6 linked regions of the Mus musculus genome follow. The protein of the gene in region 6 purifies or fractionates together with the protein of the main gene of each other region. This does not show direct contact. Links are inferred from orthologs where the notes say so. Each region holds a gene or a part of one and is shown on either strand. Other genes may lie near its edges.

What was found.
Region 1: the proteins of Kdm5a (region 6) and Zmynd8 purify together in Homo sapiens (affinity purification with mass spectrometry; 3 studies listed by BioGRID and IntAct, with this or other methods). This does not show direct contact. The link is inferred for Mus musculus from reciprocal best matches to the Homo sapiens genes KDM5A and ZMYND8.
Region 2: the proteins of Kdm5a (region 6) and Gatad1 purify together in Homo sapiens (affinity purification with mass spectrometry; 6 studies listed by BioGRID and IntAct, with this or other methods). This does not show direct contact. The link is inferred for Mus musculus from reciprocal best matches to the Homo sapiens genes KDM5A and GATAD1.
Region 3: the proteins of Kdm5a (region 6) and Phf12 purify together in Homo sapiens (affinity purification with mass spectrometry; 3 studies listed by BioGRID and IntAct, with this or other methods). This does not show direct contact. The link is inferred for Mus musculus from reciprocal best matches to the Homo sapiens genes KDM5A and PHF12.
Region 4: the proteins of Kdm5a (region 6) and Sin3b purify together in Homo sapiens (affinity purification with mass spectrometry; 4 studies listed by BioGRID and IntAct, with this or other methods). This does not show direct contact. The link is inferred for Mus musculus from reciprocal best matches to the Homo sapiens genes KDM5A and SIN3B.
Region 5: the proteins of Kdm5a (region 6) and Morf4l2 purify together in Homo sapiens (affinity purification with mass spectrometry; 4 studies listed by BioGRID and IntAct, with this or other methods). This does not show direct contact. The link is inferred for Mus musculus from reciprocal best matches to the Homo sapiens genes KDM5A and MORF4L2.

What each region holds. Positions count from the first base shown.
Region 1 is NC_000068.7:165,804,464-165,809,185, reverse strand, and holds part of Zmynd8 (protein kinase C-binding protein 1), read left to right. Parts: intron 1-1,256; coding exon 1,257-1,667; intron 1,668-3,808; coding exon 3,809-3,999; intron 4,000-4,722. UniProt on the Homo sapiens protein: Chromatin reader that recognizes dual histone modifications such as histone H3.1 dimethylated at 'Lys-36' and histone H4 acetylated at 'Lys-16' (H3.1K36me2-H4K16ac) and histone H3 methylated at 'Lys-4' and histone H4 acetylated at 'Lys-14' (H3K4me1-H3K14ac).
Region 2 is NC_000071.6:3,639,040-3,642,999, reverse strand, and holds the end of Gatad1 (GATA zinc finger domain-containing protein 1), read left to right. Parts: intron 1-1,419; coding exon 1,420-1,610; 3' UTR 1,611-3,039; downstream 3,040-3,960. UniProt on the Homo sapiens protein: Component of some chromatin complex recruited to chromatin sites methylated 'Lys-4' of histone H3 (H3K4me), with a preference for trimethylated form (H3K4me3).
Region 3 is NC_000077.6:77,980,998-77,986,460, forward strand, and holds the start of Phf12 (PHD finger protein 12), read left to right. Parts: upstream 1-1,818; 5' UTR 1,819-2,314; coding exon 2,315-2,380; intron 2,381-3,018; coding exon 3,019-3,200; intron 3,201-5,463.
Region 4 is NC_000074.6:72,746,530-72,751,251, reverse strand, and holds part of Sin3b (paired amphipathic helix protein Sin3b), read right to left. Parts: coding exon 4,604-4,722; intron 3,568-4,603; coding exon 3,384-3,567; intron 1,534-3,383; coding exon 984-1,533; intron 817-983; coding exon 647-816; intron 1-646.
Region 5 is NC_000086.7:136,737,993-136,743,326, reverse strand, and holds the start of Morf4l2 (mortality factor 4-like protein 2), read left to right. Parts: upstream 1-1,974; 5' UTR 1,975-2,117; intron 2,118-2,171; exon of another isoform or gene 2,172-2,381; intron 2,382-3,432; 5' UTR 3,433-3,522; intron 3,523-5,334. UniProt on the Homo sapiens protein: Component of the NuA4 histone acetyltransferase complex which is involved in transcriptional activation of select genes principally by acetylation of nucleosomal histone H4 and H2A.
Region 6 is NC_000072.6:120,436,787-120,441,508, forward strand, and holds part of Kdm5a (lysine-specific demethylase 5A), read left to right. Parts: intron 1-2,200; coding exon 2,201-2,407; 3' UTR 2,408-4,722. UniProt on the Homo sapiens protein: Histone demethylase that specifically demethylates 'Lys-4' of histone H3, thereby playing a central role in histone code. Does not demethylate histone H3 'Lys-9', H3 'Lys-27', H3 'Lys-36', H3 'Lys-79' or H4 'Lys-20'.

The sequences.
Region 1 (4,722 bases), on a different chromosome or scaffold from region 6:
GATCTGGAATTTCCAGGTGTTTCTCTGGGTGATCTGGATCTAAGAGGATACCAAGGAATGTGGCCATTGGTGGCAAAGCCACCCCCCCCCCACCATGTTTGGTGTGTGTTTTCTAAGTACCCTGAATGGGGTATAGTACAAGCTGGCACCTCTGCAGCTGCTACCATCTTCCCTTTTTCATTTTATTTTTTAAAGATTTATTTAATCTAAGTACACTAATGCACCAGAAGAGGGCATCAGATCTCATGATCTGATCATGATGATGGTTGTGAGCCACCACGTGTTTGCTGGGATTTGAACTCGGGACCTTCGGAAGAACAGTCAGTGTGCTCTTAAGTACTGAGCCATCTCTCCAGGCTCCCCCCACACCCCCAATCTCCTCTTTATAAGTAAGTTCAGTATACTGTGCAGCTTCTCCACTGACTTCCCGTCCCGCCCACAGCCCTCCAAACTTAAGCCCAGGTCATTGCAGTCGAATAGTGCCCCTGAGCTACATCCCCAGCCCCCAACTTAACGCTTTTAAGAAAACTTTAAAAAGCCAGGTATGGTGGCGCATGCCTTTAATCCCAGCACATGGGAGGCAGAGGCAGGCGGATCTCTGAGTTCAAGGCCAGCCTGGTCTACAGAGCAAGTTCCAGGACAGCCAGGGCTACACAGAGAAAGCCTGTCTAGGGAAAAAGGGGGCTTAGACTTGACCATTGTAGGATAGGAAATTCAGCATTGTTTGCTATCCATGAAGGGCTGCGCAGACACATCCAGAATGCAGGCTAGGCTGGGCCGAAGGTGTTAACAGAAGGTTCTCTGGCCTGGGGCTGAATTCCTTTGTTAAATGTCTAGGTCGCCCCTCCCAGTGGCTTTGTCAAAGGGGAAAGTAGATTTGGTGTGCACACCTTTTGACAGCCAGTTGCTTTTGCCAAGAGCTCCTCCTGGGGAAGAAGGGCTGCAGTTAGGCAGTCTCCATTACCCACAGCCTGGGCCACTAGTTAATTACTGCTCAGCATGGGGGCTGGGTCTTGCTCTCTTCTTCCCCCAGAAGGCTTGTGACTTCTCCATCTGGGATATTAGTTTGTGCTCAGTAAGGCATAATTCATAGCTGTTGCAGAGACCATGCTTGTCCTTGGGGCTCCAGGGGCCCTCTAAATTCCTTCAGGCAGTCTGCCTCTGCTGGGTTTGACCTAGAACTTGGCCTGCCATGTGAAGTCCCAGCTCAGGAAGCCAATCCAGTTTCTGCTTGTTTCCACCCTGCCTGGCTGTAGCTATAGGTAAACCGCCACCGTCGTCCACTTCGGCGGGCAACCAGTCTCCCCCAGAGACACCGGTACTCACCCGCTCAGCCACCCAAGCACCCGCGGCTGGGGTCACCGTGGCCGCCGCCACCACCAGCACGATGTCTACCGTCACAGTCACGGCACCGGCCACCGCCGTCACGGGAAGCCCGGTGAAGAAGCAGAGGCCGCTCTTACCGAAGGAGACTGTCCCAGCTGTGCAGCGGGTCGTGTGGAACGCATCAAGTAAGTTTCAAACGTCCTCCCAAAAGTGGCACATGCAGAAGATACAGCGCCAGCAGCAGCAGCAGCAACAACAACAGCAGAGCCAACAGCAGAGCCAGCAGCAGCAGCCTCAGTCTTCCCAGGGGACGAGATATCAGACCAGACAGGCTGTGAAAGGTACCGCGCCCCCTTCTGTTCTCTGTGGCGCCCACCCCCTTTTTGCCACACTAACAGGAGAAAGGCCACCCTTGTTGAATTTTTCCCCTACATCCCTATGTGTCATGGTCACCGCAGGCCTTATCATCCCATATGGAATTATTTTTTTAAAAACTGGCTTGCTAGCACTATTTGCCTGATTTTTTTTTTTAAAGATTTTTTTTTATTCTGTTTTATAAGTGATACGTGTTTCCTCTTTACAGAGGGGACAGGATATGTGTGTAGAATTCAGAATGCTCAATGTGGGCCCATTCGCTGTCCCTGTCATTGTCCACCCTTCTGTGACAATCATTTGTTGTCCTTATGCCTCTCCCAGTGCATGCCTATACGTTTGTTTTTATACCATATAATATTATACCATAAAATATTGTCTTTTTTCTTTCTTTCTTTCTTTTTTTTTAAAGCAAAAATGGTACCATTCTTGATTTTTTTTTTCCCCCTTCCCTCCCACCCATCAGCATGTTTTAGAGGTCTGTCTGTGTCTTATCCTTTTGGACTGCTGCATAGTATTCCCTAGTTCATTTAAGGTGTTCACCTGCTGGTGGGCATTGAGGATGCTTTTAGTTTTTCCCATTGTAAGATATGCTGCAATGACTATGTCTTGTGAGCATCTGGGAATCTCCAGGCGTTTTGTGGGAAAGTCTTTAGAGTGTGAGGAATCGGTAGGGGGGACAGTTTCCTTCCAAACCCCTGCCAAGGTGAGCCGGCCTCTGAGAACTCAGTGCTGGAGGCCAGTCTCTGTCCTGCAGCTGATGGCTCCGCTCAATTGTCTGAACCCAGCTTCAGGAGCACTAATGTGGGTCTGGTTTCTTGGGGCAAAGGAGCTTCCTTCACACTCGCTCTGTCCTTCCCCCATGCTCCCAGAGCTCATCCCAGTGAGGTAACAGGTCAGTCACAGGGACACTTTCAGGGACTCAAGGCCAGGTGGCTGGAGAAGGCCTGAAAAGCTGGACAGGTCTAGAGTGAGCTCTCAAGTACTGCAGTGGACATGGGATTAGGGCAACCCCTTGTTGGATTCTGTTTCTATCTAAGGCTGTCTCCTGCAGATAGGGTAGGTGGCTGCAATGCCAGGACCTGGTGGCAGTAGGGTCCTCAGCTTCCAGATAGTCCTGTGTCAGGTTGTAAGGCTTATTGCAACTGGGAAGGGCCAGTTTTAATCAGTAAAGCAGCGGAGACAGACTTGACGCAGTGGTTACTCCCTCAACACGCCTTATATATAGCCTGCTGGGTCAGACTTTGATCAGCAGAGGCTCCTGTAACCACCAGTGATTAAAATGGCCAAGTAGTGGCTTTACTCTCTTCATACCACATTGCCTTTTTAGCCGCTGTGGCAAGGACTGACTTCAATGAGCGTGGTACTGTTTTGCCACCAATTAAAACGAAAGGCGTTGATTTTAATGAGCGCTGTGCTGACGGATCGGTAAAGTTATTGGGTCACGGGTATAGTTGCGTAGAATGCTCACCCAGCATGCACAGAGCTCCGGGTTAAGTTCCCAACACTGCAAACACCAAAGATGTCAAGGGCTGAGATTTTAATGAGTGACAGACTCTTACTCCCTTCAGGCAGGAAGTGATTTTAATTAGTAGGACACTGGGTCTGTCATACCTGAGGAAGGGGTCCAGGGTGACTGGTGCAGGGGTGGCTGGCACTTTCAAAGGTAGAAAGGGCTCAGGCCTTGTAATGAAAGCCAGAGGGTCTGTTTGTGAAGCTGTCCGGGTTTGCCAATGAATGGCCAAAGTTCTTACCTTCTCATAGAGATGGAAAGACAGAGGTTTCACGTCTTCAGATGTTGGCTGCATCCAGCTGTTAAGTCCTTCTGGTAGCCTGGTGCTTCAAGGCTCGATTAAGTCCCCTAAACTGAACAGCCTTGAGTTAGCTCCTGAAGATGATTGCTTAGGTCTTTGTAGTGCAAGGTTGGCGCCTAGTGGAGAAGAGAGCTCAGAGGAGCCAGGCTCGAGCTTGGGCAAGGTGAGACACTGGCATTCGTAGTTCAAACGCTGGCTAGGGGAAGCTATAAGAAGACTTCCCTCCCTCGCCCCGGCTGTTTGCTGGGATGTGCTTTTCTGTATGGGTGGAGTGACCCGACCCTTTGCTTTCTTAGCTGTCCAGCAGAAGGAGGTCACCCAGAGCCCATCCACGTCCACCATCACGCTGGTGACCAGCACACAGCCGGCAGCCCTGGTCAGCAGTTCGGGCTCAGCAAGCACCCTGGCGTCTGCAATCAATGCCGACCTTCCCATTGCCACCGCCTCGGCCGACGTGGCCGCAGACATTGCCAAGTACACCAGCAAAGTAAGTGGGTTGGTGCTGCGGCTGGGGTGGGGTTGTTGGGGCCCTGGCTTGGTAGTTTGTAAAAAAGGCTAAGTTGCAGGCTTTAACAAAGGGTCTCCAAGGACAATTTACATTTGAGTCTTGAGTTAGATAGTTTCATCTATCATGGCTAAACCAGGGTTTGGGATACTGCTACACAAGTGCTGTAACCCTGCATTGTGTCTCCAGCGCCATTCTGTTTTATTTTGAGGCAGGGTCTGCCTCTGGAGTCTAGGCTGGCCTTGAAGAGCTCCTAAGTATCTGAGATTGCAGGTGTGTGGCTACCATCCCCCACCTGGCTTGGCTGTCTTGGAACTTGGCTCTGTAGACTAGAGCTGGCTTTGAACTCACAGAGATCCGCCCCCCTCTGCCTCCTGAGCGAGGGGACTAAAGGCCTGTGCCACTGCCACCCAGCAGGTTAGTTAATAGAAAACTGTGGACTGGTGGTGCGCCGATTTCTCTTGGGGAGGTGAACACTGGTCTGTTTGGCTTGCCCAGAGAAGGGACGCTGAACCAGAGTGAGAGACTCCATTGTCACACCAGCACGATGACATGCCAGGGACTTAAGAGGGGCTCCTGGGTCCCCTCCTTAAGTCATCCACTCTCTCGGGCTCAGGGTTCAGTCCCTGCTGGTGGCCTGGCATGTAGGATGGCCTGCTATGTGTAAACTTGGCAGACTCTCTCAGTTGGGCAAGTCCTTGAATG
Region 2 (3,960 bases), on a different chromosome or scaffold from region 6:
TTAGTTACTGTTCTGTTGCGATCAGAAAACACCATGACCAATTTCCTCTCAGTGTTTCTTAGTTGCCTGTAGTTCTTTATCTGAAATTGAGGGAGCCCACTCTTTTGCTTTTATTTGACCATGATTACCTGCCTAATGGTCCCTTTCCCAGCACATAACATAAAATATAGACCATCCGTATGTGAAGTGAGGCTAGAACAAAGTTCAATCCAGAATAGAAAAAGACATAAATATCATTATGTACAAAAAAAGCAAAAAGCATTGTAGGAAATAGACATTTTATATAGTTGATATTTGAATGCCATTTGTTACTATGGGCTAGAACAGTGTATGCCCACTAACATGATATGGGTAAGAAATGTTTGCGTGTCCCAAGCCTAAACTGTATGACAAGAATCACATAGGAACCTAGGTTATATAGGGGACCTATTCAATTTTCAAAAACAATTTCTAAAAGAACTTTCATAATTATTTCTATAAAAACCTTTCTCAGTATACATCCTTCTACACAGCATACGCGATATCTTAGTCTAAAAAAAATCACTGTTGATGGTTGAAATGGCATACTGTACTCATTTCACTGTTGATGGTTGAAATGGCATACTGTACTCATTTCAAGGCATTCAAAAGACTGAGTACAACTAGTTCTTGACAGACTCGTAAAAATGACTGGCCTAGTGTCATTTTGAAAGTTCAGTTATTTTGTACTGTCATTCTTTCTGAATTGGGCATGCGTTTGTTTTGCATCAAAAAGGAAGTGGCATTTCTTCTTAGTGATAACCCTAAAGATAGCCAATATCCCATGTTATTCTCACTCACTGTCAAGCTTGTTGTATGACCAGATGACTGTCTTGTGTCTACAAGTCTGGAACACCAGAGGCCATGATGCTCTGAATGATTTCTAGGCTCCCCTCTCCCGTTTCATGGTCCTCAGTGTGGATGCTTCCCTGACTAGATGGTGTGCCAGCCGGAGCTCAAGCTCTGGACCAGACTACTGGTTTCATAGCCCCTCCACTTGCCTGCTAATTAAGGAACTTCACCAGGCCTTAATCTGTCTTTCCTCAGCGTGCCTGTATGTGCTATTGGAAGAAATAGAGCCCCATGCGGAAGTTGTGAGGACTCCAAGTGTGGGTGTATGTACAGTTCTTAGAACAGTACAGGCACTTCCTAAACGACACGAATACTCAATATCTTAGGATCCTTTCTTAGTTGAGCACTCTGTGGGAGGATGCTGAATGCCTTAATCAGTTGAAGTAGAGTAAATAATGGAGTGTGATTTCAGAGTAGTGCATGTTCCGAGGTAACAGCAGCTAGGTCATCTAAGAGTGCTGCTGCTGAAGTGTCTAAGATTGCTAACATTTTACAAAGAAGATACCTGTGTTCAAAACTGTACTTAACATTTCCCTGGCTGCCCCTTAGGGCCAGAGGAAGATCTTCCAAGGAAGATGGAGTACCTGGAATTTGTCTGCCACGCGCCTTCTGAGTATTTCAAGTCAAGGTCCTCACCATTTCCCACGGTTCCCACCCGACCGGAGAAGGGCTACATATGGACTCACGTTGGACCTACTCCTGCGATAACTATTAAGGAAACAGTTGCCAACCACTTGTAGTTACAAAACCAAACCTGGGACATACTTACTTCGCAGGTATAAAGCCTCAGTTTTAACCCTAGAACACACACATCCCAAAATAAAGCCAGGTTTCCAGTTTCCTTCTATTTATAATATAACAAGATATGCCACACTCATTTCTCTTTATAAACCTTTTTCTCTAAGTTCTTGAGATAGGGTCTCATGTATAGCCCAGGTTCAGGTTGGCTTGGCCTTGAGATCCCTGCCTCGTCTGCCTTGTGTGACAGGTGTGTTATGTAGGTAGTTAACGCCAGAACTTCTTCATGAAGTTCTTACCTGGAAACAGGACTTGAGAAAAATGTTACCTACTACCCAGTAGTTGTATTACCTGCTTAGTGCCTGTTGCTTAGAAAATCACAGGGTGAAAAAAGAATGAATTGAAGTGAAATAATAAATTTAATATGTATTTTCCCAGGCAAAGTGGCAGATTCCAGGGAAATCATTATAAACATGTAGTGTCTATTTTTCTTTATAATTTATTTCTATGAACTCATAAAATGAATTACATTTTTATTGGTGTAAAACACTAAGTTTTAGATTTCTCTCTTTTATTCTCTCTCTTCTCTCTGCCTCTGTCTCTCTCTACTTTTCTTTTCTGTTTTTTTTTTTTTTTTTTTTTTTAACCTAGAATCTCACTCTGTACTCCTGGCTGTCCTACTCATTCTGTAGACCAGACTGGCATTGAACTCAAGAGATCTGCTTGCTTCTGCTTCCCAAGTACTGGGACTAAAGGTGTGCGCCGCCATGCCAGGCTTAAGTTTTAGATTTCTGATCAAGAACTAAACCAAAATGTGAGCAGTATGTCTTACAAAGCCACAGTCTTCTCTCTCGAAGCAGACCTTGGCTGCTTTAGTCCTGTAGAAAGCAGCTGCTGGGTGATGGGTTAGCTCTGGCTCTTCACACTGATCTCACACCAGAGCGGTCAGCCACTTCTGTAGACCTGCCTTTGCCTGTCAGCATCAGCTGCTTCAGCCAGATCTTTGATCTGCATGCAGCATCCCCTCCTCTTACTGAGGCAGCAGCCTCTGTGAGAGTGGCCTGACGATTGCTAAGGCAGGGACTGAAAGGTCATTAGTTTTGATAGTCAAAAAACTCAAACCCAGACCATGTGCTGGAAATTTGGATGGTGTGCTTTGGTTGTATGATGGGGGAGTGGGCAGGTACCCACTTGCTGCCTCTGTCCTCATCTATCCAGACAGACCGTTTTAACTATAGGAATTTATGAGAATTTGACTTGATCTTAATGATTTTCATCAAAACTCTTTTACCCTTTTTCTTTAGTCCCAAAGTTGGAAAAAAGCACCTTCGTGCTTACATAAGGTATAATAAAGTTCATTGGAAATACTATTGAAAATGATTTTCTAAATGCTAATATTCCAGTTTTTGATTAAAAAATATTTCTACAGTGGGTTTATTTTGGATTTTTAAATACTTAAAAAGGAAATGGGATGCTTCCCCCAAGATGGTATGAAATAGAAATATCCATCTTTTGGTTACATGGCTCATCGTACAGTGAAGAGTCACACAGTGCTACCGAGGGGCACAGGCTTTAAATTAACCGGTTGACCTTTAGGGGAGATTTGCTGTCCTCAAGGCACAGCATATTTCCCGTGTGCTGTGGGAGGCTGTGCTGCTCGGGTTTCTGTTTTAGGCTGGAGGACAGTTTTTTTAGAGTTTAGAAAGAGAAACTGCATATTAGTTCCCTATCAGATTTAGGATAGGTAAAGATCCTTTCCCAATTTGTTGGTGGCCTTTTTGTCTTATTGACAGTGTTTTTTGCCTTCCAGAAGCTTTGCAATTTTATGAGGTCCCATTTGTCAATTCTTGATCTTACAGCACAAGCCATTGATGTTCTGTTTAGGAATTTTTCCCCTGTGCCCTATCTTTGAGGCTTTCTCCCAATTTCTCCTCTATTAATTTCAGTGTCTCTGGTCTTATGTGGAGGTCTTTGATCCACTTAGACTTGAGCTTTGTACAAGGAGATAAGAATGGATCAATTCGCATTCTTCTACATGATAACCGCCAGTTGTGCCAGCACTATTTGTTGAAAATGCTGTCTTTTTTTTTTCCACTGGATGGTTTTAGCTCCCTTGTCAAAGATCAAGTGACCATAGGTGTGTGGGTTCATCTCTGGGTCTTCAATTCTGTTCCATTGGTCTACCTGTCTGTCACTGTACCAGTACCATGCAGTTTTTATCACAATTGCTCTGTAGTACAGCTTAATGTCAGGCATGGTGATTCCACCAGAGGTTCTTTTATTGTTGAGAATAGTTTTTGCTATCCTAGGTTTTTCATTTTTCCAGATGAATTTGCAAATTGCCCTTTCTAT
Region 3 (5,463 bases), on a different chromosome or scaffold from region 6:
GAGAGAGAGAGAGAGAGAGAGAGAGAGAGAGAGAGAGAGAGGCAGAGAGACAAAGAGAGAGAGAGCACTAAAACTTCACAAAGCACTAAAACTTCACACAGATATTTATATCCCCTTTGACTTACAGTCCTGACTGTCCTAAAAGAAGGAGCAATAGTTTCTCAGAGACAGTAAACACGGTGTAGGGGACAAAGTCTGACCTGTGAATCAAGAAATGTTTCCTTTTTAGGTTTGCTATAAACTCAATATGCGTCTAAGCAAACCACTCTCCACTCTGTACCTGGAAATGAAGAATTTAAATCAAATAGTCTCTAAGTCCCTCCCAGGTTTACGGGTCTGAGAATAATGTGTGTAGTAACATAAAAATGAGTTTAGGAGATTCCAGGCGTAGTAGCACACGTCGATCCCAGAAATGGGACCGGAGGCAGAAGCAGTCGGATTTCTGTGAGTTCATGACCTATCTAGTCTACATAACAAGTTCTAGGGCTGCGGAGTAAGACTGTCTTAACAGAACGAACAAACGAAAGAAAGAAACGGCAGGACATAGCTGCATGTCACCAGTGTTAATTAATGCCTAGTGGGGTTCATTCATTCGCAATTAGGCAGAGTATCTGTCCATATTGGAAAGTGATAACAAGGGCATAACAGCGCACACCCAAAGAGAGGTATGTCTCTCTGCTCAGAATGCGAGGTGAGGGGCTCAAACTACAAACCCCAGTGTGCAATACGGCAGCTCTCAAAAGTATCCTTTCCCGGCAGGCTTTTCTTCGTGTACATCCTATGGTCCAGTGCAGCGCCTGAAGGCTGAACTACAACTCCCACAATCCATCAGATCCATCGCGAGTCTAACTACCAGAGTGCAAAGCGGTCCCGTTCACCCTTTGAACTCTGCGCGTTGCAAGATGGGGATTGAAGTCAGCTGTAGGCAGGTAGCTGGGCGTTGTCAGGATTACGGACTGTTTGGGCTTTTGACTTCCTCTTTCGGAGTAGTTCACAGGGACAGTGGTTAAGAGAGGGTAAGAACAGCTTGAAATATCTTGGGTTCCATCGGGACCCAAGGCAGCAATGCTCGTGCTAAAATTAGGTGCTGAGAGTGGAAATGAAGTGGAAAGAGCAGTCATCCGATCTGCCACCAAAAGCGTCTTTTTTTTTTTTTTTTTTTGTCGCAATGCTTTTTTTTTCCCTCTTTACCAATATGGCGGCCTAGTCCAGACACACCTGACACTGGAGACAAACAGTCCACTACACCATCCATATGGGTACTGCTGCAGCCGAAAGCTACCAGCTCCATACAGCATCCCACGCTCCTCCTTGGTCGTGACTGAGGACTCCAAGGGCATGGTAGCCCCAAATCTCATTACCAAAATGGCGAAAGGAGAAGCTTTTTTTTTTTTTTTTTTTTTTTGTGCAGGCCTCCAGGTACAACGCGCCTGCGCGTGAGGCGGCTGTGTGAGGGGACGGGAGGGTGGCGACCCAACACGCCTGCGCGGGACCAGAGCCCGTGGTCCGCACACAAACACCAATGGGTGATGCGTCTTCCAGTTCCTGCGGCTGCGCCGTGACCCCTACGCGCTTTCCCAGGCGCCTAAGCGAGGCCTCAGGTTCCGCCCTCCAATCGCAGTACGCCGGCGCACGGCGGAGAGGCGGGGCTTCTGGGCTCCGGGCGAATGCCAGCGCGGCTGCGCGCCGGGGGGTACCCCATCACCGCGGCTGCGCGGGAGCCAGGCCGCCGGCTGTCACTGCGGTTGCGCGCGGCGAGCGGCGATCCCGGGGCGCCTGCGCGGGTGGCTTTGCGGGCGCTCGCGGTAAGTTTGCGCCAAGTGCGCGGCAGCCGGGACGCAGACGGCAGCGGCGGCGAGAGGCGGAGCCCGGGGACCACCCCCCATCATCCTCCCCAGAGTCACCTCACGAACCACAACCTCACCTAACCTCTCACCCCCCCCTCCGGTCCCCCAAGCCCGGGATGGCAGCGCCCGCTAGCCTTCCCGGCCGGACCAGCGGTCGCCAGCGCCAGCTTTAGCCTGTGGGCCTAGGCCCCCGCCGAGGCCTGACCCCCGGAGCCGGGATCCACTGTGCAGCCAGCCGCTGGGCCGGGGCTGAGGGGTTGCTCCCCTCTCGCGGCCCGTGGGGAGGACGCTGCCGTCCCAGGGACTGGGGGCCGGGGGGTGGGGGGGAGCCAGGGCGAGGAAGTCGGAACCTGTGTTGGGAAGAGAGAAGGGGACCGGGGGTCAGAGGTGCCCCCTTCCCCTCCTCCCCCCTCCCCCCGGGGCTGGGGGGGCCGGAGCAGAGAGCGCCCAGCCCGAGAGGTGGATGAATGTGGGAGAAAATGGAGACCAAGACGATCGTGTACGACTTGGACACGTCGGGGGGGCTGATGGAGGTAAGAGTGGCCCTCATCCTTTTCCCCCCAGTGCCAGGAGGGTACCTCCGCCCCACAAAGCCGGCCCTAAGCTCGAAGCGCCAGAGGGCCGGGAAAAGGGGGGGTTGTTCTTCCTCACCCAGTCTCTTCCTCCCCTCTTTGCAATTTGGGGGACTGAGCTTAGCTTCCGAGGACGTCTGCAGCAGTTTCACCTACCAGCCGCCCTCGATTCGCTCCCTGAGGCTTCAGCCCACTCCATTTCATTGCACCGGCAGGCCTCCCCACCCCCTTCTTGTCGGCCCCTTTGTGCTTCCCCCTGCACGTCCGGGTACCAAGCTTCGGGCCTCTCCCGAGCCGGGCTTTGGAGTCCCCCACTGTCCATACAAGGAAGTGGCAAGAAGAGAACCGCGCACCCTCTCCCCATCCCCCTACCCTGGTCCTCCCCATTTGGAAGGAGCTTTTCTTGTTGTGCTGCAGGAACGCAGTTAGGGTGGGCTCCCCTTGATTCCGGGGACCGAGAGGTTCTGGAAGCAGCCTGGATGGGAGGAAGAAGGACAAAAGGGGGAAGAGGGGTGGGTGACGGAGAAGCGGCGCCGGTGGGACTACGGGCTACCCGGGAGCTCCGAATGTGCACACATGCCGTCTGTATGTGTGTGCAGCAAATCCAAGCTCTGCTGGCTCCCCCCAAGACGGACGAGGCAGAAAAGCGGAGTCGGAAGCCCGAGAAGGAGTCCCGGAGAAGCGGCAGGGCCACCAACCACGACAGCTGCGATAGCTGCAAGGAAGGTGGGGATCTCTTGTGCTGCGATCACTGCCCTGCCGCCTTCCACCTCCAGTGCTGGTAAGGGCTGGGGACCCCTTTGGAGCCCCTTGGCAGACCCTACTCAGCACATTCCTTCACCAGGCCTGTAGAAATAACGGGAGCTTGCAGCCGCTAGCCGACTCTCTAGTCGCTGGGGCGAGCGCCTCTGCGCCCTTGGTATTTGCCGGGATCCGGCCAATTTGCGGGAAGGAGCAGCGGCGTGTCTTGACCCCGGGATGGGGGTTGGGAGGAGTGAGGTGAGCCCCATCTGAGATTGGTTGTAGGTTGGGAGCCGGGACTGAGCGGCCGAGTGCGGCCGGCGGCGGCGGCGGCGGCGGCGGCGGGGGAGGAAGGGGAGGAGCTCCAGGTCCAGTGCCGCTTGGCGGCCGCGCGCGCCCGCCGCCCTTAGGGCTCCTGCCTGGCTGGGCTCTCCTTGGGCTTAATGCGCGGAGCCTCGGCCACCCAGTTAACCCTGGTCCTGACTCAGGAGAGCGGGTGCTTACGATGGTGCAGGAAATCATGAATGGTGTCTCTCAAGACCACTTCTCTGCCTCTGTGTTTACAATATGGCGACCTGCCTTTAAATTATATTTTTATTCTCAGCGCCATTTTGGCTGCATATATGATTTGCAAACGTCTTCGGGAGAACGGTGGAGGTAGCCCATGAGCCCTTTCTGCAGAAGCTTCTTGAGGACCAGGGCTAGGCTCTGCAGGCTTGATCCCTTTCTCTGCATCTTGCCCCCTGTTGCCACTCCGGTGCTGCCTCCCTCCTCCCCCTTCCCTCCTCCCTACTCCGCTGCTGCCTCTTAGGAAATCGGGCCGGGTTAGACAATTAAAATTGCCCTTGGGCGCCGATTTCTCTTCTCTGCTCTGGTTCAGCGAGCCCTTCGCCTCAAAATTCTTTGCTGCTGGGGCAGGATTGTGTTCGGTGGCTCCGGAAAGGCAGTTTTAAGCAGCTGAGAGCTGGAAAGCTGTGAGCTCTCCCACCCCAACTGAAGGGGGTGGGGGTGGGGCTGGGTTGATCACCCGCTGCGCTGCTTGATCCTTCTCAGCCGCTCAGCCCAGAGCACTCCTGCAAAAGAGTTTAAACTATCTTCTGCCAGAAGATCACCTTTCTGCCCTGCACACAAACCCCACATCTCTACTTTGAACCCAGATAGCCTCTTGTTCTGTTCAGCAACAGTTGACCCGAGGCTAGTGCTTGGGAGAAGATGGCTCCTGGGGTGGGGTAGGGGGGTTGTTCGTTCCCATTCTGATTGGAAAGGAGGGGTTCCTGTTCTTTGTTTTGTGCCGCCCTTTTTAGCTTCTTGTTTTTAAAAAGGTGTATGAGGGCTCTCTCCTCAGTTCCACCTACATTCCGAAATCCCTTGGTTTGTGTGGAATAGAGCCTGATGTATTTGTACTTAGATGGCTGATACTGGGCAAAGTAGGACTGTGGTCAGAAGTTATGTGGGACATTCCTATTTCTAACTCCAAGACACTTTTGCTTATAAGGGCACCCCACCTTGGCTTTTAATGTTTCAAGGACAAAAGTTACTATCCTGGAGGAAGCTTTGCCGCTGGCCTTTGCTTTTTTTTTTTTTTTTTTTTTTTTTTGTGATGGAGTGAGTAAGGCGGCAGTGAGGGCCTGTGGGTTTTGTTGTTGGCCTCTACTTCCTCTAAAGTGTGATCCACCTGGAGGAAACCCCTCTGGTCCAGTTTCCTTTGCTGTTCTTTTCTATTTGGGATGTAGGAGGGCCCAGCTTGGCCTTGAGCTCACAATCATCCTCCTGCCTTGGCCTCCAAAGTGTGCATCATTGTACCCTGTTCTTGAGTCTGCGCTGCTTACTTTTTTATTTGATATATTACTAGGACTTTTAAATTTCTTCTCTTTCTCTTTTTCCTTTTACTATAATTTTTGAGACAATCTTACTGTGAAGCCCTGTTTGACTTGACATTGTATTTGCCCAAGTTGACTTCCAATCTATGCCAATCATTCCTGCCTGGGTCTCCTGAATGCTGGGATTACAGGTGTGCACCACCATGGCCCAGCGCGCTCACTCGTGCGCTCTCTCTCTCTCTCTCTCTCTCTCTCTCTCTCTCTTTCTCTTTTTTAAAGTGTTGGCTAATATTACCTCTATGGTGGAGTAGTTGTTAACGAAGATTGGTAACTACTGTTGAATGAACATTTGATAAACTCTGTTATCTTTTTTTTTAATCTCAATATTTAATAATGTTGAAACTGTTTAATAAAAGTCTGAAGCATCTTAAGAGCATTTGCTACACAATCAGGAGGAACAGAGTTTGGATTTCAGTACCCACA
Region 4 (4,722 bases), on a different chromosome or scaffold from region 6:
AGAGTCAGGGTGAGGAAGGTTTGCTCATCAAAACACCCTGAGTGGCCCCTGGAGGCCTAAGCACTTTCTGTTTATGTACTTTACAACAGGCCCTGGTCTCCATGCCTAGCACCATAAAGGATAGGCAAATAAGTTCTTGGGGCCAGTGTGATGGTTCAGCAGGAGAAGGCACTTGCAGGCAAGCCTGACAGCCTGAGCTGAGAGCTCTGTCCCTGGACCCACACAGGGGAAGCAGAGAGGCCCATCCTGCAGGCATCCTGACTGCACGGCTGTCACGTCTATGCACACATAAATGGATAAATATACATAATAAGAAGGTCATTAAGCCCTGGGACGTAACAGCTTTCTAAAGCACTTCCTGTGACTGACTGGGCTCAGAAGACATTTCCCCAGATGGCGCAGCTTTGGGCCAGGACTCTCATTTTGCATGTTAGAACAGGTGGGGTATAGGGATGGACTTAAGAGATGGCTACAGTGCTAAATGCTATGAACTATGGATGCACTTTAAAGGGTTAATTCTGTTGTGTGAATTTCACCTCACTGAAACAAAAGTATAGACTTGCTGTGTGGACCCTGTGTTGAAAGGACCAGTTTCCAAGGTGACAGGAGAGCTCCCCTGATCCTGCCCTCCCCTGACCAGCCTCACCTGGCGGGCAATGTTCTGCACTAGCTTGTCCATAGTGAAGCCAATGTAGGCATGGATGGTGAACATCTCACGGAGAGTGTCCTCATACTGTGTGGGGTCGATGCTCCCCTCTAGCAGGCTCCGCACCATGTCCAGGAAGGCCGGGTAGTACTCCTCCAGCTCCACTTCACCTGGGGAAGGAGGGTGGTCACTTGAATCTCTTGCTGAAAGCAGCAGCCCGGACTCCCTAAGAAGGACTTGCTAAGGAGGCCCTATCCCTGGTCCACCACCACCCTCCATTAAAGTGGCCTAAAGGGACAGAGGCTAGCCCAGAGCCTCACTCAGCCCAGGCACTCACTAGGCTGCTTGAGTCGCAGCTCCATGGCAGGGTCTGCAGCCTTCTCACGGCGGCCCTCGCACAGCAGCTGCTCCCTCTCCTGCTCTCGTCGATGTTCCAGCAGCTGCTTCTGCGCCTGCCGGTAGATCTTGAGCAGGCGGGCGCACAGCGTCTGGTGCAGCCGCAGGAAGAAGTACCAGTTGTTGTTGGCAAAAAACAGACTGTACACATCGTCCAGGACCTTGGGCGGTTCTGGAGATGCATCTGCAGGGGGCTTCTCATCTGTGGGCCGGCGGCGCTCAGGCTCAGCGCTGTCCCGGTCCCGGTCGCGCTCATCAGCAGAGTCATCGGAGGTGCCGGGGCACTGCTGCGAGAAGAACAGGCTGGGCAGGAAACGGTGAAGCAGCTGGCGGATAGTGCCCTGGTCCTCTTTCTGAATGGCTGGCTGCCGCTTAACATAGTAGCTGATGAGTGCTGCTGCGTCCTCTAGGATCTGTCGGTCCTCATACACGAAGATAAGGTGCGGCTCGCTGGAAGGCGCACTGCGGCCCTCTGAGTGCTGCTCCTGGTGCTGCAAAGGGTGGCAGTCAGCGGGCATGGCCTGCCCATCACCCAAGCCCCACTTCCAGCATAACCTCCAGCCTCCTTAGAAAGGATGAGTGATCTTGGCACACACCGAAGGAATAGGGTTATCTATCCAACCTTTCTCACAGTGTCACAGCTGCCCTGGTAGGGTCCAGCTCCCAGCCAGTCTACAGCTCTCAACTGGGCAAACCAAGGCCCTCTCACTGCAGGTGGATGTTAGCACTAGAGGACTGTAATGAAAGGAGAGACTTCCCACAGACCTGGCTAAGGAGTAAGGTCTCCATAAGGTGAGGCTCAGAGTTCAGAGTGGCCCAGGAGCCTTCAGCCATCTGTCACTCACTCAGTTCCACTACTCCACAGGGCTCTTGGTGCCGCCCCCATTCCATTAAAACAGCTTACCACCTGCCTAGCTCCTTAACCAACAAGAAATGAGGGGTGGGGGAGATTTCCCCCAGGTTCTTAGAGACCTTAGCCCTCAGCCTAGTGTCTGCAGTCATCTCTTGGGTTGAGCTCCTTTCTGCTGTGTACAAGGCCTCTGAGCATGTCCAGGTGAACCTCTTTCCCATACACCACCCCTTAATGTTGATGTGGATAATGGCATTCCCAAACTCAAAGGTGACCACTACTTGATCCTCCCTCAACCCAAGGAGCTGTCTTTGCACTTAGGCCCTCGGTCGATGGCAGCACCAACTCCAGACACTGTCTCTTTAGACAGGGCTGAGTATCTTCTCAGCTCTCATGGTCAGTGCACGGTGAGCTTCTGGGGGTCCCTCAAACACCATCTCTGGCAGGATCCAGTCTGTCAGTTTGTAGATCACACTCCCTAACTGAAGACCAGGAAGCTCAACTCAGTACTTTAGAGACCCATGGCCAGAGTGGGCTCAATGACCTAGCTACTACAGTGCCTCAACACAGCCTGGGACTCCTCTGACCTTCCAAGACCCTTGTTTTGTTCAGGCCACTGTGCTTTGTCAGCTGGGCCATTTGGAAAGAGGAGCCATGGGAGGAACTGCCTGCATCAGGTTGGCTCATGGGGCATTTCTTAGCTCCTGCCTCAAGTTCCTGCCCTGACAGCTCTGAAGATGAACCCGAAGGCGAAATCAACCCTTTCCTCCCCATGTTACCTTTGGTCATGGAGCTTATCACAGCACAAGGGCAAATTAGAATCTGGATACAAGTGTCCAAAGGGCTTACTCCTCCTTGGTAGAGCCAATCCCACTGAGAGGGCTCATGGACAGATGACACAAGAGTAGCTCCCTAACAGGTATTATTGGGAAGCTGCGCAGGCTTCCTGTGCCTGTCCTGAGATCTCATGTTCCCATCTTGCTAGAGCCTAAGCAATGGAGGAGCTAAGGCAGCTCTGGGCTGAAATTTCTAAACTCATGAGCCAACACTAGCTTTCTTCTTTTGAACGGTGTCTCTCACATGCTTGTCATAGGAATGGAGACTGATTTAGTAATATATGGACACCTCAAAACTCTTTTTTTCCCATGTGGTTACCTCAACTTTTAACCTAGGCCTCAAATTAGGCAAGTGTTCTTACCCCACACTACCACTTCTGCCTTCAAAGGTCAGGCCATGGGAACTGCAGAGATGGCTCAGCAGTTAAAGGTGCTTGCTGTTCTGGATTTCCAGTAGCTCACAGACACCTACCTGCATCTCTAGCTCTAAGGGCTAGCACACCTCTGACCTCTGAATGACTTAGGTGCAGCAGAGAAAGCCCAGGAAACGTCTAGCAAGCAGCTCCTTTCATACCTCAGTTTCCCCATCACTAAGGCAAGCATGGTGTGGGTTCAGGTGTGAGGAGATTGGTAGTCCCTGCCCAGCATGCCTCACCTCATCATAGACACTTTCGATCTCATTGAGCAGGCTCTTAGAGCGCAGTGCCTTGGTGTCATTCTGCTTGAAGTTCACAGCCTGGTGGTCCAGGGACTTGAGGTATGCTTTCTCGTACTGCTCACGCCAGATCTTGTTGAAGCCCTGCTGGGCCTCCCGCCACTCCTCCTCCTTGGCCTTCAGCCTGTAGGGAGAGGGGCTCAGTGCCTAACAGCTGGACCCTCCTGTGACCCCTGGAGAAGGGCCCAGCTTCCTCATAGCAATTACACATTTGGTCTACGTGGCAACAAGCAAGCCAGCATGAGGGAGGTTAAGGCAGAAGGATATCCAGTTCTAGCTGGCCTGGGTTACAGTAAGAAAGCCTCATCTCAAAAACAAAACAACAAAAAAAAAGAGCCTGGCATGGTGGTGCAAGAATGTCATCCCAGCACTTGAGGAACTGGAGTCAGAAGGCTCCCTGGGCACATGGTTAAGTCCGATGCCAGTCTGAGCTACATAAGACCCCATCACCAAAATAAACAAAAGAAAACAAAACAAACACCTCCCACAGAGAGGGGGAAGAAAGGGGAAGTGGTCCTACAGAGCCAACATGGCTACTTAAAAAATTTTTGTATTTATTATTTCATGTGCATGTGTATACCACATGCATATGGTGACCCTGTGGTTACAGACAGCTGTGAGCCACCATGTGGGTGCTGGGAATTGGACAGGGTCCTCTGGAAGAGCAGCAGTGCTCCTAAATGCTAGCCAGCTCTCCAGCAGTGGCTGGTTAAAGTCCTCCAGCTCCTCCCAGACACCCAGCAGCCCACACAGCTCTGACACTAACCCCGCTGAGCATCACAGCTCAAACCTGTGGGCTAGCACAGGGCTTCATGGCATGCCAATAGACAGTGGGCTAGGGATCCTTGTGTTTCGGTCATAATCCACACTTTGAATCCCAGGTCTCAACCAGACCTAAGTGGGACACTGAAGCACATGTACTGCCACAGGCGCTGTAAGTCACCAAGAGGTCATGGATAGGTACATGTGTGTAGATTTTATGTAAGCAAAAGGTGAGACTGCTTGTTCATACCCAGAGATGTCCAAGAGCCTGGTTGTTAAGACTCTGTTCAGGACTAGGTCAGCTGGAGGCTGACCTGAAGAGACAGTCAAGTGGCTCCATTGGTCAGGAACCCTGGTAGCTCTCCCGAATCATGGACAGGAGTAGAAGAGGGAGATACCTTTTCAGAACGACAGGCACAGCGGTGGCAGGGTTCCTTTTCAGGCTCTCAATGACCTCTGGGGCCTTGTCTCCATAGATGCGGTGTATGGCACGGCGTTGAATCACCTCTGATGTGCC
Region 5 (5,334 bases), on a different chromosome or scaffold from region 6:
GCCTCAATATGTAATCTAAGCTGGCCTTTAATTTGCGGCCCTTCTTCCTCCCAAGCGCTGATACTGCGGCTGCGCCACAGCTCACGAAGGGTTTTAGCATCAGAATTTAGGCCCATTTATCAATCCTGAGAAAAAACAAAAGATGTGCCAGAACAGGTGACTTTTTTTTTTTTTTTTTTTTTTGCTTAAGGAAATTAACCAGAATTTTCGGATATATAATTCCTTGCCTAGTACTGTTACTTCACAGAACTTGATCTTATTCATCTTTAGGAATTTAAGATATATATATGAGTCAGCCAGAGATTAGGGAGCCCATAAAATAAGAAGTGGGTGGAGCAAAAAAATCAATCTCACAATCCCTGGGAACCAAGCAGTAACTCCTTTGGCTGGGATTTGGTGACATCTAGCGGCAGATTCAAGAGGTTTACTGCTCAGCCAGTGAACTTTCTGGAAAATTGGCCGAATGTGTATTTGATCACTCCGCTTGGAGATTAGGAAAAAAGGTAGGTGAGGCTCACCACCCACAGGAAACTGGAGTTGTCTCTATCACTGGGGAATTTAGTTGCCTATGTTTTCATTAAAATTTTGTGTGCCAATTTAGCGATAAACCTGGTGAGGGGGCATAAGGGAGATTCGCAGTAAATTTGGTGAAGGGCAAAGGGGAGGCCTTGGGGACAGAGAGGAGGGGGTGTACAACTGGAAACTTGAAAGAAACGCCCTTTTACGTTACTAATATAGTTCTGAATCTTAACCATGGAAGAAGTTTATTTTGGTGGACTATAATGTGGGAATAATGATCATCTCTAGGGTCTAAAATTAAATCGGACTGGGTGGAGTGGCGCATGCTTTTAATCCCAGCGCTCGAAGGCCGTGAAGGGACAGGTGGATCTCCGAGTTCCAGGCCAGCCAGGGCTACCTAGTTACAACAGGCCTCAAAAACAAACAAAAAAACGAAAAAAGGCAAAGAAAAGAAAGGAATTTGATTAAATCGGCAGGCCTTTTCTTACAGAAGCCCTTTCCTTTAGATACTAGCACTGTCCTAGTTATTCTCAGTTTTATTAATGCAGTTTGCAAACATAAAAAAGGCAGAAAAATCCACCAAAATGAGGGACCTCGCCTACGCTCACGCGCGCGCGCGCACACACACACACACACACACACACACACACACTCACACACGGCCCCTCCCGTCCCCACCAGGGCAGCACGCCTGCGCACACCCATCATCGCCAGCGCCACGAGGGCGGCTGTGCGCCCACACCCACACTCCACAGCCACGCGAGCCTGCCTGCGCCCGCGTGCGCGCAGACACCCCGTTTCTCCAAAGCATCCAGGCATCCGCCCAGTGGCACTCACCACCCTCACACGCCTCACACCTCAAAACCTTCACCATTCCTTTGCCTTTGGTTTTTTTGGGGGGGCGTTGGTGTTTTTTTTTCCTCTCTCCCCAGGTCCGCGAGTTGCGCAACAGGCTCGGGGGCGTGGCCCCGGGTCTGCCCTCGCTCTTCCCACTCGCGGGAACCTTAGCTCATTTCCGCCTAGCCTGTTTCCGCCAGCCACGTCGGCACTTCCTTTCCCAGCGGGGCGGGGGCGGGGGAGGGGAGCGGACCCACAAACCCATAATGCCTCCCTGCAGGAGAGAAGGCGAGCGCGAGGGGGGGAAAAAAAAAACCCACGGTCAGGGGAACTCTGGGTCGTGAAGACGGGCCACGTGAACGCGCTGCCCTATAGACTTCTGACCCAACGGCTGGAGCGCACTTGGAGGGCGGGCTAAGATCCTAAAAGAACCATCGCCATTGGCGGGAGCCCTCACTGAAGAAGGATGCTAATTGGTTTGCAGTCGGCCCTAAGCATGAAGAAGCAGGTTGCTAGCACCCGCCTTTACTGCGGCTGAGTGTCACTGCTGACGTGGGGGCGGCTGTCCAATCATCTGGGTATGGAACATTCTAAAACTCAGACAAGACGGCTAGGATTGGCTGATGGGCTAAGCCCGCCTCCAGGGTGACGTGTCTGCCTATGGATATCAGTTGCCAGAGAAACCTGGCTTTACTATGGCGGTTGGAGGAGCAGCAGTGATCACACGTCGGCTGCTGGAGAGAGCTGGATTCTCGTTTCAGGTTTCGGGGTGGGGGTGGGGAGGAAGGGTAGATGATTTCCTCTTTTCTTCTTGACTTATGGATAGGATTAACTCGTGCCTTCTCATTCAGGAAAAGCGGAATTCGTATTCCTGCTCGCCAACGCCCAGCTTGGGCAAGGCTCTTTTCTGTGTCTCGGTTTCCATGTTTGTAAAATGGTAATAGTAGCTATCTCAGACGCGGATTCAGATGTGCCTAGTAAAATAGTGCGTGTGAGGCATTCGGTGTGAAGCCTGTCCCCGAAAGGTAGTAGCAATTGTTACTAAAGATATTTCTAGAGGCGATGAAAAATTTTAAATTACGCAAATTTGCTCGATATCGTATCTTTTTCTGTACATCATCCTCTTTCTTAGAAGAAATTATGACGACAGGCATTTATTAAGCCTTCCTGATAAAAATAATTGCTAGCTCATAATTGCTAATAGAATGTGGGGGTCGGAATTTTCCCACATTAAGTCAAAAAGAAAAAGGATGTAGGGGGGGAAAGCGATTGAGAACGACCTCCTGAAGCACATGCGAGGAGTAGGCCTTGTTTGAATCCTGATTCGAGCACACCAATTGTAAAATTTTCTTGAAGACGTATCGGGGATTTTTAAATGCAGGATTAATATTCTTCAATGAAATCGGTGTCAAATTATTAATTTTTTTAATGCTTATGGTGGCGATGTGGTTCTGTTTTCAGAATGCTTTATTTTGTGGAAAGAAATAGAAATGCTTAGGGATTAAATGATGTCAGAAAATGGCTTCAAAATCCATGGATGACTAGGGTCTGCTTCAGGATAATTTCAGCGATAGACAGCGAGGGGAGGGGTATCATCAGGACCCTAGATTAATCATTTAAAGTGAGGGGTGGGCAGATGGGGTTTCCTGGATTTGTCTTTTTTTCCCATGGTATATATTTGAAATATTCTGGAATTCTGAAGTCATTTTTTTCCCGATAGCTTAAAAAACCGTGGGGGGGGGAGCAGTGGGTGGGGTTACAGATGAAACAAGATGGCCTTCAGTTGGTAATTGTTGGAGCTGGATGAAGGATTCGCAGCCGTTTGTACTGCTGTTCTTTTACAATTTTATTTATTTCACATTATCCTTAATAGAAATTAATTAATTTTTTTCCAAAATTGATAAACATACAAGAAAGTACATTTATCTGAAAATAAAACTACAAGAAAAATAGAATTTCTACATTATCAGCTTTGATGTCCTTTGTGTGAGATAAAATTTTATTTACTGATGGAAAGGAAAGTCACCATCTCATATCTTTTTATGTCCTTTTCCATCTCTTTGTTTGACCTTCTAGGTCATCATCAGAAAAGCTAAGTTTGCTATACAGTAAGGATCAGGAGATCTGACCCTGGTTGCAGAACCATTCCTGGTTGCAGAATACAGGGTAAGTGCCTTCCTTCTGGCCTCAGTTTACAGACCAGCTATATCACAACCTTCTTAGATGTGTAGCAGTATTTTGAAGATTAATAAGCTGCCATCTGAGAAAGTGCTTTAAATTCTGAAAAGGGAAGGATAAACAATATAGTCATGCGTAATCTTATTCTCTTAATTAAAAATTAGTGCTCTATGAAGGCTTCACACTTCCAAATATTACATTATTTTTCTCTACAGCAAATACAGATTTGATGGATTTGATTGCTGGCTCTTCGACTTTCTGTGTAATTCTGAGCAAGAAACTTCCTTTGTTCCAAGATGTCTTCATAAAAGTATTTCCTGTAATAATACTTATATGGCTTTAATAGTCATGAAACATTTTATGTATATATAAAAGCACATTTTTGTAGAGAAATAAATAATATTTTCTTGGAATTATTTTTTTAATTAATATTGTTGGTTTCTCTCATTTTCCAGAAGCAGCCATTAACTACTAGGACTGACTTCTGAAATTAAGACTTCTGGTTTTTCCAATCAATCTTTAAAAAATAGCTTTAAGGCTATTTCCTTATGAGGAAATTTCCAAGAACTATAATTTTAGCTACCATATCCAGCATGCTAAGCAATCTTTATGTAATTTTCCTCCTTTGTTCAGACTGGAGACCATCAGTTGGGTTGCGAGTGTAGCCCAGTTGGTAAAGTTGCTTCCCCAGCATACATGGAGCTCCAGGTTTGAATCACCAGCACTGCCCAGACCAGGCCCAGACAGTGGCACATGCTTACAATCTATTAGAGGATAGAGGCAGGGGGGTCAGAAGGTCAAGGTTGACCTCAGCTATCTAGGAAGTTTGCATCTAGCCTGGGATATGAGATCTTTCCTCAATGTTCATTTTTTTAGACATGTAGAATGTTCCAGTATCCATATGAGAAAGCTGATATGTACTTGATTTTAGGCAGAGACCAAGAGATGAAAACATGGTCTAATTAATGTGCCCCCCTCACTTTTAAAGGGCTTGTGACACACACAAAAGTACAATTGGAGTCTGGTTACATGAACCTATGAAAGGAAGGGGTGTGCCTCAGTCTCTTCACAGCGACATTTTTAAAGGAATTCTATAATTGCCTTAATTTCTCTCCTTTGTAAGGACTGTGTTTAAGGGGAAGGCAGTTTCCTGGCAGAGAGGCAATTTAGAGAATAAGTGAGAGTTGATCCATAGTAGATCTATAGATACTGGCAAAGCAGAGGCCAGAGAGATCTGAAATGGGAAAGCCTCAAAGAGAAGGCCCTTGCCTTGGACCTTTGGGACTATCTGAGTACAGTGGTACTGAAGTAAAAGGTGAAAGGATGTAAAATCCATGAATGACCACATCACAAAAATTCATGAATCAGATATATGGCTCAGGGTTTTTTGTTTTTCTCATTTCCCCCTTGTTCTCTCTACAGTCAGTCACTAATTTTCTTCATTTCCTTCTAGATGACCTAACTAAAATCTTGCCTAAAATGTGTACAGATGTGTATAAAAGTTGTTTTATGATTTTCTTTGTATAAACTAAGGTGTTGATATATAACTAGCTATGTTTATTTAACAAATAGTCTTTGAATGTCTTTGTTCCTTCATAGATCTAACTTTTGTGGTATTTCTTTCACAGTGACAGTCCTTTAGCTGAGATGATATTCCAAATTATGAGTATATCACATTTAATCAAGTCACTAGAGGGTTACCCCAGTATTTTCCTGCTAAAATAATGCCACGTCAGCCACCATTTATATGCATTAACAAGTATTCTAGAGCAACATTAATATCTTTAAACCGTAATAATG
Region 6 (4,722 bases):
TTTTTAAGATTTATTTATTATATGTAAGTACACTGTAGCTGTCTTCAGACACACCAGAAGAGGGCATCAGATCTCATTACAGATGGTTGTGAGCTACCATGTGGTTGCTGGGATTCGAACTAAGAACCTTCAGAAGAGTAGTCAGTGCTCTTAACCGCTGTCATTCTCCTGGTAACATTTTTTTTACTATTGACTAGTATAAATGAAGACTTGATTCATTTAATAGGCTGTCATTATAAAACAGCATAGGATTTCAAATCCCATACAAAGCTGGTCATTTTTCTAATTCGCTTACAGACTCCAAATACCCAAAACACTCCTCTTCAGCTCCCTTGCAATAGTTGGCATTTATAAGTGCTGACTTTCCTTTATTCTACAGCCTGTTACATCCTAGTTTTTCTCTGGTTACAGCAGGATCTTTTCTTTATTTCTTTGAGCGGGATGGGGGATGTTCTATTTTGTTTGAGACAGGGTTTTCCTATATAGCCCTGGGTGTCCTGGAACTCACCCTGTAGACCAGGCTGGCCTTGAACTCAGAGATCTGCCTGCCTCTGCCTCCTGAGTGCTGAGACTAAAGGTGAGCACTACTAACTACTGCCTGGCTGTTATCAGTTTCATAACTATACTTTTGCTTTCTTCTGAGGCAAAACATGGAATTGAGTTTAGTTGGGAATAATTAAGTTGCTCTGAATTTACAGGAAGCAATATCACAGACAGCAGTGGTCTGAAATACATAGGAATCATCTAGAATGTCTTAAAGTCCACACTTAGTTCTTGGAATATGTACTTTCCTTTGCTTAATAAACTTAAAATTTTGCCACAGTGATCCCAACACTCTGGAGGCTGAGACAAGAGGATCTCAAGTCTGAGCCTGGCAGAGTGCTGTACTGAAAGATGAAGATGAGGCTAACCTAGGCTACATAGTAAGACTGTATGCTTAGGAGGGAACACCTAAAGAATTTAATTACAGGAGGGGAAATGAACAGATATTTAAGAACAATACAAATATTTAAGAATGCTTAGAACAGAAATGATAAAAGATAATAAAAGCCAAATCGCAATATTTTATAATTTTTCCATCCTTTATTATAAACCCAAAACTTACTGACATGACTTGTTTTACAAGCTATGGAAGCATTTTAAAACCACTCACTTTCCCTAAATAAAACGTATTTACCTAGCCAAGGCCTCCTTTGTCCTCTGGCTGTGTTAAGGGACTTCTTTGATCCCTTCATAATTCTTTGCTCCAAGGTCTAATAAAACTTATGATTTTAAGTGCCTTCCTGTATTGCCACCACAGTAACCAGCCTTTGTATTGTGAAGGGGGATGCCCGTAGCCCTATTGTAATGATAGATCTTGTCTGATAGGACATTAAGTATAAGGTTGCCTTCTGAACAGAAAAGCCTGAAGTTGCACTACTTTCCTACTTTACTATTAGCGCCAAGGTTTTAAGTCACCAAACTAAAGCCCTTTTGTGCCCCTCCTAGTCACTGTAGGGTCTGAAGGATCAGTGTTTGCCTGGCATCTGCCGCTGACACCTGTCACTTTCTCAGACTAATTTTAAACCCCAGAGTTAATCTATTGACCTGTGTCTTTGACTGTTGTAATTGGTTAACTTGTAAGATTTGACCTCTGATATTTGCTAACTTTTTATAGGGAGTTGTATTTGTAACGGAAGAAGAGAAGAATAAAAAATAGTAGTTTTAAAAGTGGCCTATGTGACTGCTTTTCTAAAAAGGTATTTAATGCTCTTAGTACTTTGGCTTATCTCTTTGAAATAAAGCTAATCCACAGGATTGCCTCACATTGTTGTCCTCTTCCTTTCTTGATTGTTAATTGCATTATTTTAGAGCCTAGAAATTGTTAATATTAGCTAAAACTACTTGGCTGCTCTATTAGAAATTTCTTTTTTGTTAAGTATTCCCCAATCATGTTTCTGCCTCACAAGGAACCCCAGGTATTCATGAGGGAATGGAGTACCTAAGAGGCCTAATTTTGTGGACACACTATGGTAAAATATAATTTGGGGGTATTAACTTCTCAGCTTCTTTCTTTGAAAAATAACCCCATAAGAAGTCATATCTATCTCTGGATATCCCAGTTGTTTGCTCTTCTAATTCCAAGAAAGTTCTCTGGTTTGCTTTTATTCTGGCCTTACTGTTATGATGCTAAACATCTCCCAATCTTTATCTCCTACAGGTAGACTGGGTACAGTGTGATGGTGGCTGTGATGAGTGGTTTCATCAAGTTTGTGTTGGTGTATCCGCAGAAATGGCTGAAAATGAAGATTACATCTGTATAAACTGTGCAAAGAAGCAGGGGCCAGATAGCCCAGGCCAAGCACCACCTCCTCCCTTCCTAATGAGCTACAAACTACCAATGGAGGATCTTAAAGAGACCAGTTAGCAGATGTCTGGTTAGCTTGCAACATGGGGGGAAGTGGACCACATTGAGACCTTACTCATCAAGCAGAGTGGTTCCGACCACTCAGAATGTTGTTTCCAAAGATGAATGGACTTCAGAAAAAGTCCTCTTAGTGCTGGCTTCCTCTCTGCATGGATTGTGTGGGCTCCATTCTCTTATCATCTGTGCAGAGGATGTCTTCTTTGGTGCAGCAGCCAAGTATTTCAACTCTTGATTCGTTGAGTGTGGTTTGCTGAATTAAGGTCAGGTTCTAATGGAACTCTCAGGAGGCTGTTTGGCATTAATACATTGATGTGCTTAGTGGGGCATATAAGAAGTGGCTTTCGACCAACTGATACTTGTTGTAGACGGTTACAACCTACAGGTGGTGCCATTGGAAGGCCCTGACCGTTTAAATATCCTTAGTTAGGATAATTGGACAGGAGTCAGAGCACAACTTTGTAATTACTGACATTTATGCCCTACTGATCCAGTTAAGAGAAGCAGGCCAAAGTTATCCCTTCTAGAAGTCTTGGAGTGGCAGTGCAGTCTATGACCTCAGCTGCTTGTGTTTATTTAGACCAATAAGAAAATCCTCCAAAAGATCCCCTCACTTTCCTCAGGAGGATGTCAAGCAGGTTAGAATATCTGATTAGACTGGATTCTGGGAAGAAGGGGTTTTTTTTTTGTTTGTTTGTTTGGTTTGGTTTGGTTTTTTCTTACTTCAAGGCAAGTAGGCCATTGGTTTGAGAAGTCCATCTGGGTCTGTGTTTTAGAAAAGAAAGGTAGGTACACAGATCCAGGTTTCTGGAGGGAGTAGGGATGACTAATGAGAATGTTTTACTGAGCCTCGGTGATGCATGCTTATCTGGGAAACCCTCATTCACAAGTATTCCAGACTCCACCATGCTTCACGCATGGCCATGAGCAAGACTGGCAGATAACAGCTTTTGCCTTGCAGCCCTAACCCCAATGCCTGTAGTTTCCAACATGGCCTCAGCAGATATTTGTGAATAACACCATGGCTTCATCAGAGGATGTGGGGCTGTAGGTCCTCTGGGTGTGAAGCTGTTCTAGTAAACCCATTTTTAAAAAGAAAGACTTGTTTTTACTTTTTTCTAAATGTCTCTGACTACTGACTGTTCTATAGATTATTTTTCCTTTTTTGATATACATATATGAATATAGATATATATATATATATTTACTGTTACCAGCAGCGTATGATAGAGTTTGAGCATCAGAAATCCATTTGGAAGCTTGCATTTTCTTTCTGCTTTTTGATAAAGAAATCCCATTCCTTCCTTGTAGTACAAGGAGTTAGCACTTCCTTCTTCATTCTCACCTAAACATATCTTCCACTTTTCTTCTATTCAAATAGATAATATATTTCCTCCATGTTGGGACTTGTCCCTGTCTGTTGGGCAGCTTGGTCTTATTCTAGTCAGTGCTGAATGTTTTGTATGTCTGAAACTATGGTGCTGTGCCCCCCCCCCCTGCCCCTATTGGGTTCTGTGTTCTTACAAAGGTCTTAGGTGGACTCTGTAAACTCCTGCTAGAAGGAGAATAATATATTTTAAAGGACAAAAAGGTTTTCTAAAAATGGTGTTTATCTTCACTATCCTTTGTTCTTTATTTTGGTTTAAGAATCTGCAATTTAACTTAAACTCATCACTTGTCCTGTTAAAGGGGCATTGAGCAAACCTAGGAAGTTTGTAGCCTCTGTTCCCCTTTACTCCAGTCTCTTAAATAAATGTCTTCTAGTAACTAGAAGTGAGATGTACTGTCCAGTTACAGACTGTGTGGGTATGAGGGCTACCTCAAAAGGCATCTTAGGAAAAGAAAAGGTTTTCTTACAAAACCCTTTATCCCAAGTGCTAACCAGGCTTGGCCCTGCTTAGCTTCCAAGGTCAGAGGAGACATACACGTGCAGGTGGTACGGCTATAGGTACAACATCCAATTTCTGAAAATACTTTCTCTGGTTTATACTACCTACTTTTTGGTCTCTTCACTTAATGTTAAGTAACATATCTTGACCAGTTATGTTGTTTGAATGTGTTGCTGTGCTTGTATCTTGAATTTCCATCTCAATGTGAGTGTGAGCTAAGATTTCAGTAATGGTTACAAGGTTAATTAAGTAAATAGTTAATTTCACACATTTTCATTTTGCCAAACATGAAGATTATCACGTAAGAATTTTATTTGGTTATTGTTATAATGAAAAAAAGCACAATATTTCTTAACTTTTAGTCTTTGTAAAAGACTTGAGATACTTGTGGTTTAAAATTGAGTGTACACCAACCCTTCAGAAATTTAC